Linked DNA regions of Oryctolagus cuniculus. The main gene of each other region encodes a partner of the protein of the gene in region 2 in a complex. Links are inferred from orthologs where the notes say so. Each region holds a gene or a part of one and is shown on either strand. Other genes may lie near its edges. The genes, in order: GTF2E2, GTF2F1, CTDP1, POLR2D and ERCC3.

Region 1 (3,727 bases), on a different chromosome or scaffold from region 2:
AAATGGAGTAAACTGAGCTCAGTTGAACTGAACTGTTTGCCCAAAAGGAAAAGAATAAAAGGAGAGTGCTGACTGCCTTTCCTCCCCAGGAAAGCAGGGAGGCCTCAGGCACATCGCCCTCCCTTACTGGCCTCTAAAAATAGATGGCAATGACGTGGTCTGCGCTGGTGCTGCTCTGTTCCCAGGCCCTTCTGCTGCTCAGTGTCCAGCTCTGGAATGTTCTTGCCTTGCCTCTTTGTTTTTCTAATGAAATCTCAGATGTGCTAATTTAGACCCAAAAGAGATAATAATGAAGCCTGGATTTTGATCACTTCAATGTAATCATTTGTAAAAATGGATTGTAAAATAACTATTCTCTTGTTGGTACAGAATTTCAGAAACTCTGGAGGAGTGTCACTGTGGATTCAATGGATGAGGAGAAAATTGAAGAATATCTGAAGCGACAGGGTATTTCTTCCATGCAGGAATCTGGACCAAAGAAAGTGGTGTGTAATCTCTGGAAAAGCCATCCAACCTTCCTCCTCTGCATTGTTACCCTGCTTCCTGTAGTTGTCTCTGTCCTGCGATTTGCTCAGATGCCATTCAGCACATGTCTGCCTTGCAGACCCGTGGACATGCCCCTGGCTGCTGCCCCTCAGGCCCGGCCTCCCTGCAGCATCCCCTGCTGTTTGTAGGCCCCAGCATCGTCCACTGTTTCCCCTCCTACCCTCAGCACGCGTCCCCTGCCTTCTGTGAGGAGCCTGCTCTTCATCTGCTTGGGCTTCAAGACCTCAGTTGTGCTCCCCTCCCCCTTGCTCCCTGAGCCTCATGGTCTTGGTTCCCGGCTCTGTCATGGCCTTGATCACACTGAATTGTCCCTGTTGATCTTTGAGTCTCTCGGGAATCATATTTTGGTCTTTATAGCGCCTAAGTCCTGCTCATCAGAGACCTTAGTAACCAAATGACAACTCGAAAATCGTCTTGTGCCAGCTAACTGCAGGCTCTATGTAGTCCAGGAACAAAGCCAGCTTGGAGAATAACCCACCAGCACCCTTGACTGTGGCTACTCTGCCTCTCTCCTCAGGCCCTAGGCCCCCATCGTACTTTGTAGCTTGTCTGTGGCTTTGTGGGGTGTGTGTTATTCAGTGAGCATTCAGAACTCAGAAATGGAAGATTGACTGCCGGTAATTTCTCCAAGAAGCAGTGTCATTGCAGCCCTTCATGAGTTCCGATCACTGCTTAATTTGTGGACTTAACAATTTTTTTTTCATTTAATGATGCAGAACACTAATGCTGACTTGACATATTCATATATAATTTTTTCTCTCACATTAACAATTCAACAGAATAATCGAGAGGAAAAGCTAAACACCATATGCAGTATACTCTGATACTGGAATTTAAAAAGTTTATTCCAATCCATTTTTTTTTCTATACTAAAAAAAAAAAACTTTGTTAACATTGATGAGGTAGATCCACAGGAACACGGTGGTGCCCAAGGGCAGCCCAGTGTTCAACCGGTCAGGTTTGTCATTTGGCCCCTCCTGCACGTAGAATTTTGACCATGCTGAAGAATGCTGGGGAGCGTGGCGGGGCCAGCAGCCATGAGAGAGGGCACAGTAACGCGGATGGCGCCATTTTGCTGGGCTGGCTGTTGATTTCTTTTTATTATGTGATTGATGTTAACGTTTCTAATATACAGAAAAGAATGGAGAATAACATTAAAAGCCCTTGTGTGTCCACCCATCACCCAAGTTTGCCATATCAGGATCTTATCATATTTGATTTTTTTTTAAGTGGTGATAGTGGATTTATTTGTAAGCCCGATAACAGACAAATGACAGTTTCACTGACTCTCTCTTACTGACTTGGTGCCTGCAGGAAGGTTTTTGTGCCAGCCTGCTCATTCCTAGGGAGGTTTGCATCGCATCTCTTGAACAAAAATCCCGGGTCTGGCTCAGGTTGGGTTGTGGGCTGTGCATTGGCATATGGGATGCTGGGCTCCAGGGCAGGGAGAAAGTTCCAGACCCTTCCTCCTCTGCTGTTGGGTTCTATGCTTAGGAAACCCTGACCATCGTACCCTTTGGAGTAGCTGCTTGTTTCTAACTATTCTTACCTTTTCCTTTAGGCACCCATTCAGAGAAGGAAAAAGCCTGCTTCGCAGAAAAAGCGACGATTTAAGACTCATAATGAGCACTTGGCCGGCGTGCTGAAGGATTACTCTGACATTACTCCTGGCAAATAGGGACAGGTTTGTCCTTGAACAGAGGACCGATACACATCAAGGTTGTTCTGGTCAATGCTTGGGCTCCGAAGACTCACTGTCCTCCATTCTGCTTCCTAGGGCTGAGGAGAGGAGCAGCTCAGTTTACAGAACAGGTGCAAATTACCAGCCTCACACTCAAGCTCACTGGGCAGGCTAACGAGAAATGTGATGTTCCCTGTAACCTCCAGTTACGTTTTAGGGGGAAGGCACTGTGCGTGGCATGCAGGTGTCTTTGCTGTTTGTCTGCTTCTACAAGGTTCCTGGTTCCATTTTCCCTTGTTTATTACTTTAGAGCAGATTGACAGGTAGTCTTGAATGCGATATTTGTTTATTCCGAAAGAACATATTTATAATAAAATAATTGTAGAAGGATTTTAAAGATGTTAGTGAATTCAGCTTGTTTCCTTTGATTTCTGGAAATGGCAGGCAGCAGTGCCGGCCTGGCTTCCAGGGCGCCTGTCTGGGGTTTGTGAAGATGGAACTCTGCACTGTGTGCTGAGCATGTGGGTCTCATAGTCAGAACACAAGGTGTTTCTCCTGTAGCAAGTTAAGCAATAAAGATGCACTAAATGTCCTTGTTCATGTTTTCTTTTAAAAGTTTAGCCTCTTTCTTCTGGTGGAGAGCCCCCTGTTCCCCTGGCACTTCCCCGCTTGTGAGCAATATCAAGGCTGTATGGGTTCTCAGGAGTTAGGGTGACTTACAGGAAATTGATGGGATCGTTCCTGCCTTCTGTGGCAAACCATTTTCAGATGATTTGCTGAGATCTTTTCATTGATTATCTCAGATCCCATGTCACAGACTAAGTTGTAGTGAAGTGTAAAGACAAAATCTCATGTTTCAGAAAGTAGTTAAGATTCCCTTTGGGGTGCCTACACTGCATATTGGAGTATTGGGTTCAGTTCCTGGCTCCAGCTTCCTGTCAGTGCAGACCCTGAGAGTCAGTGATGTAGTGGCCTAAGGATGTTGGGTTTGTGCCAGCTCACATGGGACTTAGAGTGAGTTCTCAGCTCCTGGCTTTGACCTGGCCCTGCCTGGCCATTGTAGGGATTTAGGGAATAAAATAGCAGATGGGCTTCCTTTTTTTCTCTGTTAAAAAAGGTGGTGTGATGGTAGGTGCTTTGTGCAGACAAGGAACCTTGTTTTGCTGTCTTAGTTCTTACCTGTTTACAGTGTCATCTATCTGATTTACCTGCTTCCTATTGCCCAGTCCCAAACCATGGCAGGAGATGTTGTAAAACTGAGGTGCTTATGTTAATTTAGAACAAAGGAAATTCAACATCTCTTGCTGTATTCCAGAAGTTTTTTGTTAGTAAGGAGCTCTAATATATTATAATATATTATGGCATAAAAGTGAGTTTTCCTCAAAAAAAGAAAAAAGCTGGTATATCATCAGATGCCTACTTTAAAAAAAAGTTTTTAAAATTTTTTATTATTTGGGGGAGACTGAGTGTGTGAACACATGCTTCCATCCACTGAGAAGC
Region 2 (3,910 bases):
CAGGCCAAAGCCAGGAGCCAAGAACACCATCTCTGCCACCTGGGTGGCAGAGACCCAAGTCCTTGGGTCCTCTGCTGCCTTCCCAGGAGCATTTGCGGGCAGCTGGATCAGAGGTGGAGCAGCCGGGACTGGAACTGGAGCGTGTGTGTGGCCACAGGGCTGGGCCCCGCCTCCCTGGGGCCTCTGCGGTGACACAGGCCACAGATGCATCTGCAGGTGTCCCCGGCGCCCCCTACTCCATTTCCTGTCCCTGGATCTGACTGCCCCAGGGACCTCCCAGGAGTGCAGTCGGGGAGGTTTGACCTCGTGTCTCCCACTGCGCCCGTTTCAAGGTCCACCCACATGGTAGTGAGTGTCACGGCTTCTCTCTCACCCTGAACGAGTGCCCAAAGACGCAGGGCGGGGAAAGCACCCGCAGCCCCTGTGGGAGCGCCTGGCTCTGAGCCCTGGCCCTGGCTCCCGATGCCGGCTTCCGGCCAATGCACGCCCTGGGGAGCAGCGGCGAGGGCTTAGCAGGCTGGGAGCCACGTGGGAGACCTGCATTGAGTCCTGGGCTGCTGGCTTTGGCCGGGCTTCTTGCAGGCACCTGGGGAGTGACCCAGCGGGTGGCAGCTGTCTCGGCCTCTGAAATAAAGGGAAAGCTTTTTGTTAAAGGCTCCCGTTCATGATATACAAAGACAGACTGGGGGGGGGGGGGGGGCGCTGTGAGTGGACGCTGGGCTGGAGAGGGCTTCAGGGGTAAGGCAGCTCTCCCAGGCGGGGTCAGGGCGCCCCGAGTCCCTGGGGGCGCCCTCGTCACCCAGCAGCCCCTCTGCCCGCAGGAGGAACAAGGTGCTGAACCACTTCAGCATCATGCAGCAGCGGCGGCTCAAGGACCAGGACCAGGACGAGGGCGAGGGCGAGAAGGAGAAAGGCGGCCACAAGAAGGCCAGCGAGCTGCGCATCCACGACCTGGAGGACGACCTGGAGATGTCGTCGGACGACAGCGAGGCCAGCGGCGAGGAGGGTGCGGCTGGGGCGAGGGCTGAGTGGGTGCGGGCGCCCCCAGGAGAGCTTAGCGGTAGCTGGCTGTTGGCCCAGCCAGGGGCAGAACGCGTCCTCCTCCCAGGCTGGACCAGGCTGCAGCCAGGAACCTACCCAGTCACTTAGCAGGCAGTGAGGGCAGGGGCCGGAGCCCGGACTTGAGGCCAGGCAAGCGGACGTGAGATGCGGGCACTCTGGGCCCCGTGGCCGCCCCGGGGTTGGCCAGTTTGAATGAGCCTGGTGGACACCGGGCTCTGGGGGCCGTCCTACTCGTCAGCACGTGGGCCTGGTGCGTGTGCGGGTGTGTGCATCACAGGAAGGGGGCTTGGGTTGTGGGCCCGGCCTGGGCGGTCGCCAGGAGGCGGTGCGCTCCTAGCAGGCCCTCGTCGTCTGGAGGGTGGGTGCAGTGGCCCCCGTCAGCGCATCGTCAACCAGGAAGCCCAGGACGGCCCGTGGCCTGAGCCCTTCCTCCCCCGCCCCCGCCCCCGCAGGCAGCAGAGCCCCCAAGGCCAAGAAGAAGGGGCCGCTGACCAAGGCGGGCAGGAAGAAGAAGAAGAAGAAGGGCTCCGATGACGAGGCCTTCGAGGACAGCGACGACGGGGACTTCGAGGGCCAGGAGGTGGACTACATGTCCGACGGCTCCAGGTGAGCAGGGGAGGCCGGTGACCCCCGCAAGCCCCCACGCCGCTCGCAGACCCGCCCACTCACCCCTGCCGCCGTGTCTTGCAGCAGCTCCCAGGACGAGGCTGAGGGCAAGCCCAAAGTGCCGCAGCCGGAGGAGGGGCCCAAGGGTAGGCGGCGCCCGGGGTGGGGGCGGGAGGGGGGGCGCGCTGGGCGGCCCCCTGCTCACAGCCACCCCTCCCCCAGGGGTCGACGAGCAGAGCGAGAGCAGTGAGGAGAGTGAGGAGGAGAAGCCGCCCGAGGAGGACAGGGAGGAGGAGGAAGAGAAGAAAGCCCCCACCCCACAGGAGAAGAAGCGCCGGAAAGGTGGGGCCCTCCCAGGCCTCCCCCGTGCGCGGTGGGCGGGCGGGCGGCGCGAGCAGGGGTCTCGGGTGCACGAAAGGTGGGGCCCCTCGCAGGCCGCCCCCGTGGGCTGTGGGGCGGGCGCCCGCAGGGGTCTCGCGTGTAGGACAGGTGGGGGCCATCCCAGGCCTCCCCCGTGCGCGGTGGGCGGGCGCGCAGGGGTCCCGCGCCGCTCTGGGCCTGACTCCCGACCACCGGCCCTGCAGACAGCAGCGACGAGTCGGACAGCTCCGAGGACAGCGACATCGACAGCGAGGCCTCCTCTGCCCTCTTCATGGCTGTAAGACGCAGGCGTGGCGGGGGCCGGGGTGGGCCGGGGCTGGGGCGTCTGTGAGCGTTCTCACACCCTGCCCCCGCCCCCGCAGAAGAAGAAGACCCCCCCCAAGAGGGAGCGGAAGCCGTCGGGAGGCAGCTCACGCGGCAACAGCCGCCCCGGCACGCCCAGCACGGAGGGCGGCGGCGCCTCGTCCACGCTGCGGGCGGCGGCCAGCAAGCTGGAGCAAGGTGGGTACCGGGCCGCTCTGCCCGGCCCTGGGTCAGAACCTGCCCTCTCTGGGCCCGGGCCCCACCCGCCCGAGGCTCAGCCCCGACCCCATCCCATCCCACAGGGAAGCGGCCGAGTGAGACGCCGGCGGCCAAGCGCTTGCGGCTCGACGCGGGGCCCCAGAACCTGTCTGGAAAGTCGACCCCCCAGCCGTCCTCGGGGAAGTCCACGCCCAGCGGCGGGTACGTGGGCGAGCGGGGCGGGGGCGGGCAGGGGCGGGGGGCGGTGCGGGGCCGCGGGGACCCGCTCACAGGCGCCCGCCCGCCGCCCCGCAGGGACGTGCAGGTGACGGAGGACGCCGTGCGCCGCTACCTGACGCGGAAGCCCATGACCACCAAGGACCTGCTGAAGAAGTTCCAGACCAAGAAGACGGGGCTGAGCAGCGAGCAGACGGTGAACGTGCTGGCCCAGATCCTGAAGCGGCTCAACCCCGAGCGCAAGCTCATCAGCGACAAGATGCACTTCTCCCTCAAGGAGTGAGGCCGCAATAAACGCGCGCTGGCCTGGCGTGTCGTGTCGTGTCGTGTCGTGTCGTCCCGCTGTGCCGGGGACAGCCTCCGTGCTGGGAGCCAGCCCATCTCCACCCGCGCACCACCCCCATGACCCCTGAGCGCGTCCTTAGTGGAGCGAGTGGTGCTGACTCGGCGCTCTGTCGGCTGCTGTCTGTGCGGTCCGTCTCCCATGCTGCCCCGCGGGCGGGTGTGGGCACCTGCGCAATCTGAATGAAGTTCACAGGCGGGCAGACGGCCTTCGGGACTGTTGATTTATAATGAGATTTGTTTATTTGAAAGGCAGAGTTAGAGCTGCCGTCCGCTCGTTCGTCCCCCAAATGGCTGCAATGGCCGGGAGCCAGGAACGCCACCCGGGTCTCCCACATGGGTGGGGACCCCACGTCCTCAGACCATCTGCTGCCTCCCCAGGCAGAGCGGTTGGGATGCCGGCGCCCTGGCCACGCGGCCCCTGTGACGGGGCCTGGACAGGGCGCCAGGGTCGTCGGGGATGGCCTTGGCTCCCCGCAGCTGCCCAGGGAGCGCCGTCGCCGGACCCCTACCCCCTCTCGCTGCTGGCCTGGGCTTTTGAGCGCTTCTTTCTACCCAGGGAGCTCTCCGGGGTCCCGATTTTCTGCCCCTGTGGTGGTTTTCTCAGGCAGGCATCACCACGGGCTCTGGCCAGGGGGATGGGACGGTCAGAGCGCTGGGCTGATACCATGGCCGGAAACGGGATTTGGCTGCAGCCGCTGCTGCTGAGCCTGGTTCCCGGTGACCCGGCCCGGGTGGGGAACGCAGGTGGAAAAGTCCCTGCCCAGCGAATGCCGGAGAT
Region 3 (4,050 bases), on a different chromosome or scaffold from region 2:
TGGTCAGACCCGCGCTGGTGCTGTGGTTTGGGCCTCCTTCTCTGTTATCACCTGTCGTCTGTCGTGAGGCCGGTGTGCCTGCCGTGCAGCCCGCTCTGTCGCTCAGAACTCTGTCCTAGCCCAAGGCCTAACCGGTCCCCTTGTCTTGTTTTTGTACTTCGTGGTTGACTTTTTTTTTAGTGTAGACATCTTAGTAAATTGAGATTTCCTTGTTTTAGTAGAAGTCGCACACGGTTAGCCCCTGATGTGAGCTGTCTGTCCGGGGCAGCCTGTGGATTCCCACTGCGCCTGTGCTGGGACCTCCCTCCTGCTGCCGTGCAGTGAGGTGGGAGCGAGTCCACTTGTCAGATCACACTGCCACGCGGACGTCACCGACAGGCAAACAGCCCCGCAGCCGCCTGTCCCTGCAGCCACGCTGTGGTCTGCGTGTGTGTGACGGGGCCGTCTCGGGGTCGCGCAGGCCGGCGCGAGTTCATTCCTTACGCATCTTTCTGCTTCCCTGGGCATGCATTACGTATCTGCACTTGCTCATTTCCTCCGCTTTGCCCATCTGAGTCCCCGGCTGCGGGCAGACCACGTGTTCCTCGTGTGTGCTCGTCTGACGCTTGGTGGGATGTGTGGCCCTCGGCAGGGGCTGTCACGTCGCTCTCCTGCAGTGTCCGGTGCTGTGGGTGCTGGCCTCTGTCTCGGGAGACTTCGGGGTCCTTCCCTTGTCCTCAGCGTCGTGAGGGGCCTGGGCCCTGCACGCGAGCTCGGTGCTGACCACAGCGGACGTGGTTCCCTAAGCCCACAGGTGTCCTGGAGGAGGGTGACTCTTAGACGAGAGCACACACCCCTGGCAGGGAGGGGAGCAGGAGCAGGGCCAGGTGGGGCGCCCAGTGGTGCCCAGCGGCGCCCACCGGCATCGCCTGAACATTTCCCCTCACGGTGGACCAGTTCCTGGGCCCCAGGTCCGATGGGTGGCACGGGCAGGTGGGAGCCGGCACAGCTGCTCAGGTCAGCCCTGCGTGGGCACTGGCTGCTTCGAGTGAACCCCGAGGGTAAAGGACGGCCCTGACGGGAAGCACAGCCCGAAACGCGGCCCCCAGGCGCTGAGCGCACCACTCGTGTCCTGGCCATGCCCAGGGCCGCGGGGGCCCGCGTTCTCTCCAGTGGACTCATGCTTCGGTGGTGGCTGGCAGAAGGCGACTGAAGTGTGGCGAGGTCTCCCGGGCCTGTTCCTGCAGCGCTGGAGAAGTGAGGACCTCACGCGTTAGTTAGGAGCTGGCAGGAGCAGCAGAGCTTGTGGGCGGGGCTCTTCCCGGGGTGGGGGGCACGGCGGTGACCTCGTAGGGGAAGCCTCGCTGTCCCAGCATGAGGACCTGTGGGCAGGGCTCTTCCCCGGGGGGCGGCGGTGGTGAGTGGTGACCTCGTAGGGGAAGCCTCGCCGTCCCAGCATGAGGACCTGTGGGAGGGGCTCTTCCCGGGGAGGGGGGGGCACAGCGGTGACCTCCTAGGGGAAGCCTGTTCTCACTGTCTCCTGCATGCCGTTTAAAATGACTCTCCAGGCTTTACGTGCTCTGTGCATGGCCTTGCAGCTGTGTGAACGCATGAGGTGAATTCCACGCGGTGCCGCGCATGGGGCAGCCCTGGCGGTCACGTCACAGCCTGGCTCTCCCTGGGCTTGCAGCTCACGTCTGGCTTCCGAGACGATTTTCCTGACCGAAACTCAGGCAGGAGGAGAGGCGCTGTCAGCCGAGCTCTTTCTGCACGTCACACATGCCACGAGGCTGGGCGGGGGGCGGGCTGACGTCACGAGGCTGTGGCGGTGGGTGGGCTGACGTCGCGAGGCTGGGGCGGGGGGCGGGCTGACGTCGCGAGGCTGTGGCGGTGGGATGGGGGGCCACACTCTGAGAGCCGCCGCTGCCCTGTGTCCAGCGTGAGTCGTTCCTCTGACTTGGCCGTCACTGCGGAGACCCCGGACCTGGGTCTGTGTCCTCTCTGGGTCACTGCTGCTCTGCATACGGCCTGAGCACCTCCCAGGGGCCTCACCCGTGGGCTTCTAGGACGCAGGGGAGAGCGTGTGGCTGCTGGCCGCTGCCCGGTTCCAGTCTTCCCTGATGCACTGGACAGAGCTGAGTCCTGCACCCCCTCCTGGTGCACACGCGTGTGCACACACAGAGCCACCTGACCGCCTGCTGTGCTCACCTCACTCCACCTGTGCCTCCTCCCCTCGGGTCCTCAAGCCCCACACGGACCTGCTTCCACCTGGCCAGGCCAGCGGCTCTCAGAGCGTGCCCCCCCCCCCTTCTGCCCACTTCCTGCCGCTGCGTTTCGGAGCTGCATTGCGGCCACGCGGCAGCAAGTGAGAAGGGACTCCCTTCCAGGCAACTCCGGTGTCCTTGGGTCTGGCCGCCAGGGCTGCCTTGTGAGTGGCAGCCTCCTCCCTCTGGCTGGGGGGAAGGGATCGTGCGTAAGTCTCACGTTTTGCACAGCTAGGAAGCGGCTGGCTGGGTTTCGTGGATCTGACCAAGGACTTGTAGAAAAGACACTTCTCGTCATCAAACATCTTGGAAGCGAGTGTTGATGAGGGCCAGTCTGTCACCTGAGGGTAGGGCAGCTGATGGCAGAACACGTGACCGAGTTGCAGTGCTGGTTGTGGCCAGCCTGGGCCGGGGCAGAGCCCTGGGGAGGAGTGGGCGCTCCCCGGGGTCAGGACCCAGCCTGGCAGGGCTGTGCGGTACACACTGCTTGCACACAGAAGTGTGCAAAACGCTCAGCAGTGAGGGTGTTCCCAGAGCTCCTGTCCCATCAGAAAACCAGGCTGGGCTGCGTGTGTGTGCGTGTGTGTGTGTGTGCACGTGTGTGCGTGACTGCTCTGGGCTGCGTGTGTGTATGTGCGTGCGTGACTGCTCTGGGCTGCGTTGTGTGCGCATGTGTGTGCGTGCATGTGTGACAGCTCTGTGCTGCGTTTGTGTGTGCGTGCGTGACTGCTCTGGGCTGCGTGTGTGTGTGCGTGTGAGCATGTGTGCATGACTGCTCAGTGGCGTGTAGTTTATTGTTGTTGTCAGTGGAGTGAACAATGAAAAACTAGAAATTAGATTGACTTCTAAAAAAAATGATTTGTGTGACTGAAAGGCAGAGTTACAGAGAGAGCGAGATCTTCCACCCGCTGGTTCACTCCCCAGATGGCCACAGTGGGCAGGGCTGGGCCAGGACAGCCGGGAGCCCCCCAGGCCTCCCACGTTGGGGCAGGGGCAGGGCTGGGCCAGGACGGCCGGGAGCCCCCCAGGCCTCCCACACAGGGGCAGGGGCAGGGCTGGGCCAGGACGGCCGGGAGCCCTCCGGGTCGCCCACACAGGGGCAGGGGCCCAGCGCTTGGACGGCTCCCACTGCCCCCCAGCTGCATCTGCAGGTGCTGGATCGGACGTGGAGCAGCCGGACTGGACCCAGCGCCCACGTGGGGTGCAGGCAGCTCGGCGCACTGGGCCACCCGCCGTGTGCCGGGCGCGAGCCTCACCCCACTCTCCTTCTCCTCAGAGGCCACAAGAGGAAGCTGAGTGAGGACGGCACTGCCAGCGACTCCAGCAGGGAGTCGAGCGACGCGGACGGGGAGGGCAGCAGCTCGGAGGCGGACGAGATGGCCGCGGCCCTGGAGGCGGAGCTCAGCGACCTGGTGTGATGCGGGGCGCGTCCTCGCCAGGGCCCGCCCCTCGGGTCCGTTTCCTCACAAAGACATATTTTGCAGAGCTCCATGTAAACACATTATTTTGCAGAAATTGGTGTTTTTAAGAAGTTTTACTACAAATTACAGGAAAATCTACTTTTTTAAGTGAGAGGGCGTTGAAGGTGTCCCCGTGCCCAGCCCCAGGGCTCCACAGAGCCTGCCTTGGATGGGGGGCGGGGGTGGGGCCCCGTGCAGAGCCAGGCCTCGTGCCCCGCATGCCTGCGGCTGGGGGAGCGCGCGGGGTCTGCGGCGACGCCCTGGGGAGAGGCCGGACGCAGGGGCCCCATCTGAGTGGCACGGCCCCCTACGGGGTCCCTGCTGCAGCCAGGCTGCCCTCGACGTGT
Region 4 (4,050 bases), on a different chromosome or scaffold from region 2:
TGAAGCTTCTTCTGGAGCAGCAAGCTGGTCATAGAGAGGAAAATCCAAACAAAACAACCCAATCAAAGAATGATCAACAAGAAAAACTGTGGGGAGCAAAGAGAAAACGTGAAGCATCTGCAACCTTCTCTTTACGGTTATGTGGGCTGCAGAATTCTACTTTCAAATTACTTCCTGTTTCTGCCTCTAAAGAACAGGAAGCTGCAGTGAACTTAGGCAGAGATGAAAGAGAGGAGACACACCAGGTAGAGGAGCACCTGCCACAACCTGTGAAAAACTACTTCATACCTCAGACGATACCACTTTTTGCCCAGAAATTTATTTTCTTGTTACTATTCTTTCTACTATACCTCTTTGACTCTTATATTACTAATTTTTAAAAAATTATTTATCGGGAGGGGCCAGCGTTGTGACACGGTGGGTTAAGCCACCACTTGTGACACAGGCATCTCATAAGGAGTACTGGGTTAAGTCCTAGGTGCTCTGTTTCTGATCTAGCTTCCTGCTAACATGCCTGGGAAGGCAGTGGAAGATGGTACAAATACTCAGGTCCCTGTAACTCAGGTAGGAGACCAGGGTTCCTGGCTCCTGGCGTTAAGCTTGGCCCAGACTTGTCTATTGTTGGCATTTGAGAGGTGAACCAGTGAATGGAAAATTTCTGTCTCTTCCTCTCTGCCCTTTTAATAAATCAATCTCAAAAAAATTTTTTTGAAGAAATTAACTTATTTGAGAGCCAGACAAAGAGAGGCATTGAACTCCTGTCCAGTGGTACACTCCTCACATGCAACAGCCAGAAGGAAGGTGGGAGCTGGGAACTCAGTGGTGACATGGTAACAGAAATCAACTACTAGGGCCATGACCTGCTGCTCTGCAGAGGGCACACTAGCAGGAAGCTGGAATTAAAAGTGGGACTGGGGGCTGGTGCTGTGGCACAGAGTGCGAGGTTGCTGCCTACAGTGCCAGTATCCTATATGGATGCCAGTTGGGAGTCCTGGCTGCTCCACTTTGGATCTAGCTTAGCTCACTGCTATGGCCTGGGAATGTGGTGGAAGATGGCCCGGTCCTTGGGTTTCTGCACCTGCATGGGAGACCTGGAGGAGGCTCCTGGCTCCTGATCAACCCAGCTCTGGCCATTGCGACCATTTGAAGAGTGAACCAGCAGATGGAAGACCTCTCTCTCTGCCTCTATGTAACTCTGCCTTTCAAATAAATGAATAAATCTTAAAAAAAAAAAAAAAAAAAAAGTGGGACTGAACTCCAATATGGAAGGCAAGTATCCCAACTAACGTCTTAACTGATAGGTCAAACGCCCACCCCTCTTAATTTTACATTAAGCACATAATGTTAGCTGTTCCCGATTTAATAGGTATTTTGACAGGGAGGAAATTCTCTTTAAAATTTATCTAAATAGGAATACAGACTACCCTATTTTGTGCATACTGGTGTATGAAACATATCTTAATTAAACATACAGAGGCCGGTGCTGTGGTATAGCAGGAAAAGCCACCACCTGCAGTGCCAGCATCCCATATAGGCACTGATTCTAGTTCCAGCTGCTCCACTTCTGATTCAGCTCTCTGCTATGGCCTGGGAGAGTAGTGGAAGATGGCCCAAGTCCCTGGGCCCCTGCACCCCCATGGGAGACCCAGGAAGAGACTCCTGGCTCCTGGCTTCAGATTGGACCAGCTCTGGCCATTGCAGCCATCTGGGGAGTGAACCAGTGGATGGAAGACCTCTCTCTCTCTCTCTCTCTCTCTCTGCCTCTGTCTCTCTGTAACTCTGCCTTTCAAATAAGTAAATAAATAAATCAGTAAACATACAAGTCCTGTTTGGAACACTGTCAGCACAAATACTGTCTTGAATGTTCATCACTCTACCTCTTTTCTCTTTTTTTTTTCTTTTAAAAACTTATTTATTTGAAAGGCAGAGTTACTGAGAGACAGATCTTCCATCTGCTGGTTCACTCCCCAAATGGTCATAACACTGGAGCTGGGCAGATCCAAACCCAGGAGCCAGGAACTTCTTCCAGGAACTTCCCACGTGGGTGCAAGGACCCAAGAAATAAGGCCATCCTCCACTGCTTTCTCAAGAGCATTAGCAGAGAGCAGGACCGAAGTGGAGCACCTGGGACTCCAACTGGTGCCCATATGGGATGCAGGTGTCCCAAGCGGCAGCTTTACCCGCTGTGCCACAGCAGTTGCCCCACCTCTGCCTCTTAAAATAGAGCTCATCTGTGGTAAATTTAGTTTCAGAAATGATCTTCAGCTTTCTGATAAGAAAAAAACCAGGGTGGAGGAGGCATTTGGCCTAGCTGTTTTTCCTATAGCCTCCTTTAAGCCCAAGCACCTCACTGTGTCTCCCAGAAAGAATGTTCTGGATCTACATTTATTACCATGCAAAGATCTCTATGATGTTTTAGGCACAAAATAAGTAAATCTGCTTAATTAAAAATCTTTAAATTCTATCAAACTGTGATTTAGGTATAAAAGATGGTGGCTCAAGATAATTTTGGCCTTATAAACAATTAAAATTTTTTGACAATGATGTTACTTTACTTATATTAAATTCACACGGGGGTTGGAGTCATGGCATAGCAGCACAAGCCACCACGTGCAATGCCCAGCATCCCATACAGATGCTGCTCTGAGTCCTGGCTGCTCCATTTCTCACTCAGCTCTCTGCTTATGTGCCTGGGAAGGCAGCGGAAGAAGGCCCAAGTGTTTGGGCGCCAGTACCCATATGGGAGACCCAGATAAAGTTCCTAGCTCCTGGCTTCAATCTTGCCCATTCCTGGCCGTTGCAGCCATTTGGGGAGTAAACCAGCAGATGGAAGACCTCTCTCTCTCTCTCTCTCTCAACCAGCAGATGGAAGACCTCTCTCTCTCTCTCTCCCTCCCTCCCTCCCTCCCTCCCTCTCTGTAACTCCACCTTTCTAGTTACAAAATAAATCTTATTTGAAAGGTGGAGTTACAGAGAGGGAGAGGCAAAGGCAGAGAGAAAGAGAGAGAATCTTCCATCCTCTGGTCCACTCCCCAAATGGCTACAACATCCTGAACTGGGCCAATTGGAAGCCAGGAGCCAGCAGCTTCTTCTGGGTCTCCCACATGGGTGCAGGAGCCCAAGCATTTGGGCCATCTTCCACTGCCTTCCCAGGCACATTAGCAGAGAGCTGGATGGGAAGTGAAGCAGCTGGAACTGAAACCGGCACCAGTATTGATGTTAGCACTGCAGGTGGAGGCTTTACCTGCTACAGCACAGCACCGGCCCCTAAATAAATCAATCTTAAAAAAAAAAAAAAAAAAAAAAAAAACAAAAACCTTCACAGATGATGTTGGGAAAAGCAAGAGTGAACAATGTTACACATGTAGATGTCCAACAAGTTGGACTAACAGACTTTCTTTTAGCACTCACCTGCGGACACTGGCAATGGTCTCTCTGTTTTTGAAACGACTGAAACGGGCTGTGTAGGTCAAAGTCTTCATGAAGACCTCCGAGAGTTCCTGTTCATCCTCTGCACTCTCGTTCTGCTGCTTGCGATGCTCCAGAAGCATATGCACCTCGGAATTTAGAAGTGTCTCAGCTGTTTCAAACTCTGTCAGAGGCACAAATGTAAGCTGAGAAGAATCCTTCAGGGGCAAGCGTTTGGCACAGCACTTAAGAAGCCACTTGGGACACCCACATCCCTTATCTGAGTGCCTATGTTCAAACCCAGGCTCCGCTCCTAATTCCAGCTTCCTACTAATGCACACCCTGGGAGGTAGTAGATGATGGATCAAGAATTTGGGTCCCAGCCACTACATGGAAGACCCAAATTGAGGTTCAGGCTCCTGGCTTCAGCCAGGTCTAGCCCTGATTGTTGCAGGCTTTTGGGGAATGAACCAGCAGATGGAAGCTCTTCCTCTCTCTGCCTTTTGGCAGGGAAGTTAAGCCACCGCTTGGGATGCCAGAAGCTCATCTCAGATTGCCAGGGATCAAAGTGCCACTTCTGTTTCCCATCCAGCTTCCTACTAATACACCTACTGGGGAGGCAGGAGATGGCCCAGGTTCTTG
Region 5 (4,050 bases), on a different chromosome or scaffold from region 2:
CACAAGTGGAGCAGCCAGGACTCGAATCAGCACTGATAAGGGATGCAGGCACTGCAGACAGCAGCTTAACCTGCTGGGCCACCAGACCAGACTCAATAAATCAATCTTCAAAAAAAGAGAAAGCAACAAGATTAAAAAAAAAAAAAAAAGGAAAAAATATTAAAAAACTGGACAAGTTGAGCAGAAGACCTATTATCTGACAAGGGATTCCAAAAAGAAAGAACAGAGAAAACATACACAAGATGATAAACAAAGAAGAAACAGAAATTCTCAGAACAGAAGGACACGAGATTCCAGATGCAGAGGGCCTGAGTGGGACAGGCATCTGGTACCGGGGTTAAGACATTGCTTGGGGGGGCCGGCGCCGTGGCTCAACAGGCTAATCCTTCTCCTTGCGGCGCCGGCACACCGGGTTCTAGTCCCGGTTGGGGCGCCGGATTCTGTCCCGGTTGCCCCTCTTCCAGGCCAGCTCTCTGCTGTGGCCTGGGAGTGCAGTGGAGGATGGCCCAAGTGCTTGGGCCCTACACCCGCATGGGAGCCCAGGAGAAGCACCTGGCTTCTGCCTTTGGATCAGCGCAGTGCATCGGCCGCAGTGCGCCAGCCGCGGCAGCCATTGGAGGGTGAACCAACGGCAAAAGGAAAACCTTTCTCTCTCTCTCACTGTCCACTCTGCCTGTCAAAAAAAAGATTCTAAAAAAAAAAGGACACTGCTTGGGATGCCTACCTGCATCTTGTATTCGAGTGCCTGGGTTTGAGTACCAGCTCCACTTCTAATTCCAGCTTCCTGCTAATGCACGCCCTCAGAGGCAACAGTTGATGGCGCCAGTACATGGGTTCTTGTTACCCACTAGGGATGCCTCGGGAATTTCCTGGCTCCTGGTTTCAGCCTGACCCAGCCCTTGATGTTGCAGGCACTTGGAGAGTGAAGAGTGGAAGTGCGCTCTTTCTCTCTCTCTCTCTCTCTCTCTCTCTCTCTCCCCCCACCTCTCCCTCTCCCTCTCCCTCCCTGCCTCTTAAGTAAAAATAAACAAAAATTTCATAGATTTTATTTTTATTATTAAAAAGGGGAAAACAAGGGGCTTCAGTACCTATCATAGTGAAAGAAAAAAGACCATCCTAGACTTAGGATTGATTGAAATCTCCAAAAAATCACCTCCTGAAAGAAGGAAAACAGACAAGCACCACTACCAGTCACAGAGAAAGAAACCAGAGAGCACCAGACTTCCAAGCAGCCTCACTGCAAGCTTCAATATTGCTTCCAAGGCCCAGTCAACTTGCTGATCAGATGCAAAGTTCTGTAAAGGCACTTGTGAACATTCAGTCTTACAAACTTTCCCTCCAGCATCCCTCCTCTCAAGAATCTAATGGGGCATGTGCTCCATCCAATGAGTGACCAAGAGAAGAGTACAGACTTGAGATGAAGAAATAGGGGCCCAGGGAATTCATGGGGTGATTTCCAAGGGAAGCCCCATGATGATAGCCAGGCCAGAGCAGAGCAGGAGGGTGGAGTGCTGGTGGGGATTCCACTGGACAGAGAAAACCAGAACTGAGGGGTTACCTGACCCTGCTCAAAGGGAATTTACGGTTACGTGAAGAGTATGGAAAGGAGGAATCATTGTATATGCAAACCTAGCAAAAGCAACCAGGGGCAGGCGTTGAACCTTGTGGTTTAGACACTGGGTTGGGACACCTGCATCCCATATCAGAGCGCCTGAGTTCAAGTCCTAGCTCTGCTTCCAATTCCAGCTTCCTGCTCATGTGCACCCTGGGAGACAGCAGGAGATGATCAAGTACTTGAGTCCCTGTCACTCACCTGGGAGTCTTAGACTGAGTTTCAGTTCCTGGCTTCAGCCTGGCCAAACCCCGGCCAAACCCCTGCTGTCTGAGGCATTTTGATAGTGAACTAGCAGATGAGGGTTCTCTGTCCAATATGGGATGCAGGCATCCCACAGTGTTAACCACCTTGCTAAAAGCCCACCCCAGAAATTCAATCTTTCTAAGCCTGTGTTTTCCTTCGTATAAAATGGGAATACCTCCTGGTATGGCTGAGATGAGGAATAAATAAAACATACGTACAGTATGCCCAGCATCCAGCTTGCTAAGGAGAAGCTGGTCTATATTCATTCACCCCTTGCTGCCCTCACAAAAAGCATCATGGCCTGTGTCCACGGAGCACTTTGCCTACTCCGACGCAGCACCTGCGGCCCGGCATCACCATCTGGGGAAGCCTCTTCCTCTTCATGTGGCAGGAACTTGGCCACAGCTAGGTTGAAGCACACGCACTGGGGTGGGGCTATGGGCTGATGAGCATGCTGGGTGTTACTGAGAAGTTCTTGGATGCCAGTCCACACCTGGGATGCTGGCCCAGCCCCCTTTGCCATCCAGCTCCTTGCCCAGACAGTATGGCCTCATCATTGCCCATAGCATTCTCCCAGCCTGAAACTCCAGAAGCCAACCTCATGCAGCTTTGGAGCCCAGATGTGAGGAAGCAGCTCTCCCAGCTACGCACAACTCTGACCCCTGCTCTCTGGGCTGGAGGGGACCAGTCCCTCTTGCCTCTCTGCTCTAACCTCCATCTCTGATCACCTGCTTCTCTGTCTTGCCTGGGTCCTGAGAGCAGTGACAGAGCTTTAGAATCCAAGAAGTTCCCAAGAGCTTCAAGGATCAAGGCAGTCGCCTTGTGTATTCTCGGTGAGGAAAACGAAGCTTTCAGGGCTTACTTGTTCAGCCGAATGGCGTACTCCTTCAGAGCAAACACGTTGTCAGCAAACACAATAATCTTGTCATTCCTCCTTTCATGAAACTTGATCAGAAACTGACAAGCCCTGAACTTGTTGGGGTTCATGGTGTACAGCAAGATTCGTTTCTTGGTTTTGATTGCCACATACTCCCGGTAAAATTCGGGTGACATTGGGCACCAAACCTGTGATGCATTAAGAATCAAGGATCATTTTACAGGTTTAAACATCACACAACTGTAAACTTTTAAAGCCCGTTCATCTTCTAAAAGCAAAACCAACGGTATATGAATTATGATTTCAACACAACAACAAGTCCATGCATGCACAAAATCAAATCTAACACTGAACTGGACACTCTCATGTGCCCATCATTTAACACCTATTTTTAAATAGTTATACCCAGGGAACTAATTTTACACCAGATACTGAACTACAGTTTTGTTTTTCTAAATGGTATTGGTTAGCAATTCTAAAATTCCTTTGTGTATATCATAGGTCCAAACTAATAAGTAAGTGAACTTTCATGGATAATGGAAGCCAAGTTTCTCACTGTCTGAGAAAGGAATTATAAACAGGGAAAGTTAGAATACAATTTGTGGGGGCCGGTGCTGGGGCGCAGTGGGTTAACGCCCTGGCCTGAAGCACCAGCATCACATATGTGCGCTGATTCTAGTCCCAGGTGCTCCTCTTCTGATCCAGCTCTCTGCTATGGCCTGGGAGAGCAGTAGAAGATGGCCCAAGTCCTTGGGCCCCTGCACCACGTGGGAGACCCGCCAAGAAGCTCCTGGCTCCTGCTTCGGACGGCACAGCTCTGGCCGTTGTGGCCAACTGGGGAGTGAACCATGGGAGGAAGACCTCTCTCTCTCTCTCTCTCTCTCTCTCTCTGCCTCTCCTCTCTCTGTGTAACTCTTTCAAATAAATAAATAAATCTTTTAAAAGAATACAATCTGTGGAGCTCGTGGTTTTTAATGTGCACAGACAGATGAGAAACGGATACAGATGTGTGTACATGCACACACACACACTTGTAGCTCCGTCTACTGAGTTAGCCTCGCCATGACATTCTGACAGTAAAGAACACACCTCTACTTTGGTATTAAAATCCCATCCTTGCTCCTTTCTTTCCCAACTGCCGAGGTACCTACCAGCATCATGACCCACACAGTAACTGCCTGGCCTAGGCAGTCCAGGAGCAACGGATGACTGTAGAGGGAACAGCCACCAATGTCCTTCACTCTGGGAAGGCAGCTGTGCCGAAGACAGCAATTTGAGAAAAACCAGCCAAAAGGTACCAGACTACACTAATATC

Evidence for each region.
Region 1: GTF2F1 (region 2) and GTF2E2 share a complex: the UniProt entries of both Homo sapiens proteins name them as parts of the TBP-based Pol II pre-initiation complex. The link is inferred for Oryctolagus cuniculus from reciprocal best matches to the Homo sapiens genes GTF2F1 and GTF2E2.
Region 3: the proteins of GTF2F1 (region 2) and CTDP1 are in contact, whole or in part, in an NMR structure (PDB 1ONV), measured with the Homo sapiens proteins. The link is inferred for Oryctolagus cuniculus from reciprocal best matches to the Homo sapiens genes GTF2F1 and CTDP1. Residues at the interface, in NP_002087.2 of Homo sapiens: Thr470, Lys471, Leu474, Gln478, Ser486, Thr489, Val490, Leu493, Ala494, Leu497, Lys498, Leu500, Asn501, Pro502, Arg504, Met511, Phe513; in NP_004706.3 of Homo sapiens: Ala946, Asp947, Met949, Ala950, Lys951, Ala952, Leu953, Glu954, Glu956, Leu957, Asp959, Leu960, Met961.
Region 4: GTF2F1 (region 2) and POLR2D share a complex: the UniProt entries of both Homo sapiens proteins name them as parts of the TBP-based Pol II pre-initiation complex. The link is inferred for Oryctolagus cuniculus from reciprocal best matches to the Homo sapiens genes GTF2F1 and POLR2D.
Region 5: GTF2F1 (region 2) and ERCC3 share a complex: the UniProt entries of both Homo sapiens proteins name them as parts of the TBP-based Pol II pre-initiation complex. The link is inferred for Oryctolagus cuniculus from reciprocal best matches to the Homo sapiens genes GTF2F1 and ERCC3.

What each region holds. Positions count from the first base shown.
Region 1 is NC_091433.1:80,603,449-80,607,175, reverse strand, and holds the end of GTF2E2 (transcription initiation factor IIE subunit beta), read left to right. Parts: intron 1-369; coding exon 370-485; intron 486-2,107; coding exon 2,108-2,224; 3' UTR 2,225-2,819; downstream 2,820-3,727. UniProt on the Homo sapiens protein: Recruits TFIIH to the initiation complex and stimulates the RNA polymerase II C-terminal domain kinase and DNA-dependent ATPase activities of TFIIH. Both TFIIH and TFIIE are required for promoter clearance by RNA polymerase.
Region 2 is NC_091447.1:60,702,826-60,706,735, reverse strand, and holds the end of GTF2F1 (general transcription factor IIF subunit 1), read left to right. Parts: intron 1-821; coding exon 822-1,006; intron 1,007-1,514; coding exon 1,515-1,668; intron 1,669-1,752; coding exon 1,753-1,814; intron 1,815-1,890; coding exon 1,891-2,010; intron 2,011-2,252; coding exon 2,253-2,326; intron 2,327-2,411; coding exon 2,412-2,550; intron 2,551-2,654; coding exon 2,655-2,772; intron 2,773-2,865; coding exon 2,866-3,070; 3' UTR 3,071-3,097; downstream 3,098-3,910. UniProt on the Homo sapiens protein: TFIIF is a general transcription initiation factor that binds to RNA polymerase II and helps to recruit it to the initiation complex in collaboration with TFIIB. It promotes transcription elongation.
Region 3 is NC_091441.1:431,456-435,505, reverse strand, and holds part of CTDP1 (RNA polymerase II subunit A C-terminal domain phosphatase), read left to right. Parts: intron 1-3,519; coding exon 3,520-3,661; 3' UTR 3,662-4,050. UniProt on the Homo sapiens protein: Processively dephosphorylates 'Ser-2' and 'Ser-5' of the heptad repeats YSPTSPS in the C-terminal domain of the largest RNA polymerase II subunit. This promotes the activity of RNA polymerase II.
Region 4 is NC_091434.1:121,258,620-121,262,669, reverse strand, and holds part of POLR2D (DNA-directed RNA polymerase II subunit RPB4), read right to left. Parts: intron 3,593-4,050; coding exon 3,412-3,592; intron 25-3,411; coding exon 1-24. UniProt on the Homo sapiens protein: Core component of RNA polymerase II (Pol II), a DNA-dependent RNA polymerase which synthesizes mRNA precursors and many functional non-coding RNAs using the four ribonucleoside triphosphates as substrates.
Region 5 is NC_091434.1:122,300,743-122,304,792, reverse strand, and holds part of ERCC3 (general transcription and DNA repair factor IIH helicase/translocase subunit XPB), read right to left. Parts: intron 2,924-4,050; coding exon 2,721-2,923; intron 1-2,720. UniProt on the Homo sapiens protein: ATP-dependent 3'-5' DNA helicase/translocase. Binds dsDNA rather than ssDNA, unzipping it in a translocase rather than classical helicase activity. Component of the general transcription and DNA repair factor IIH (TFIIH) core complex.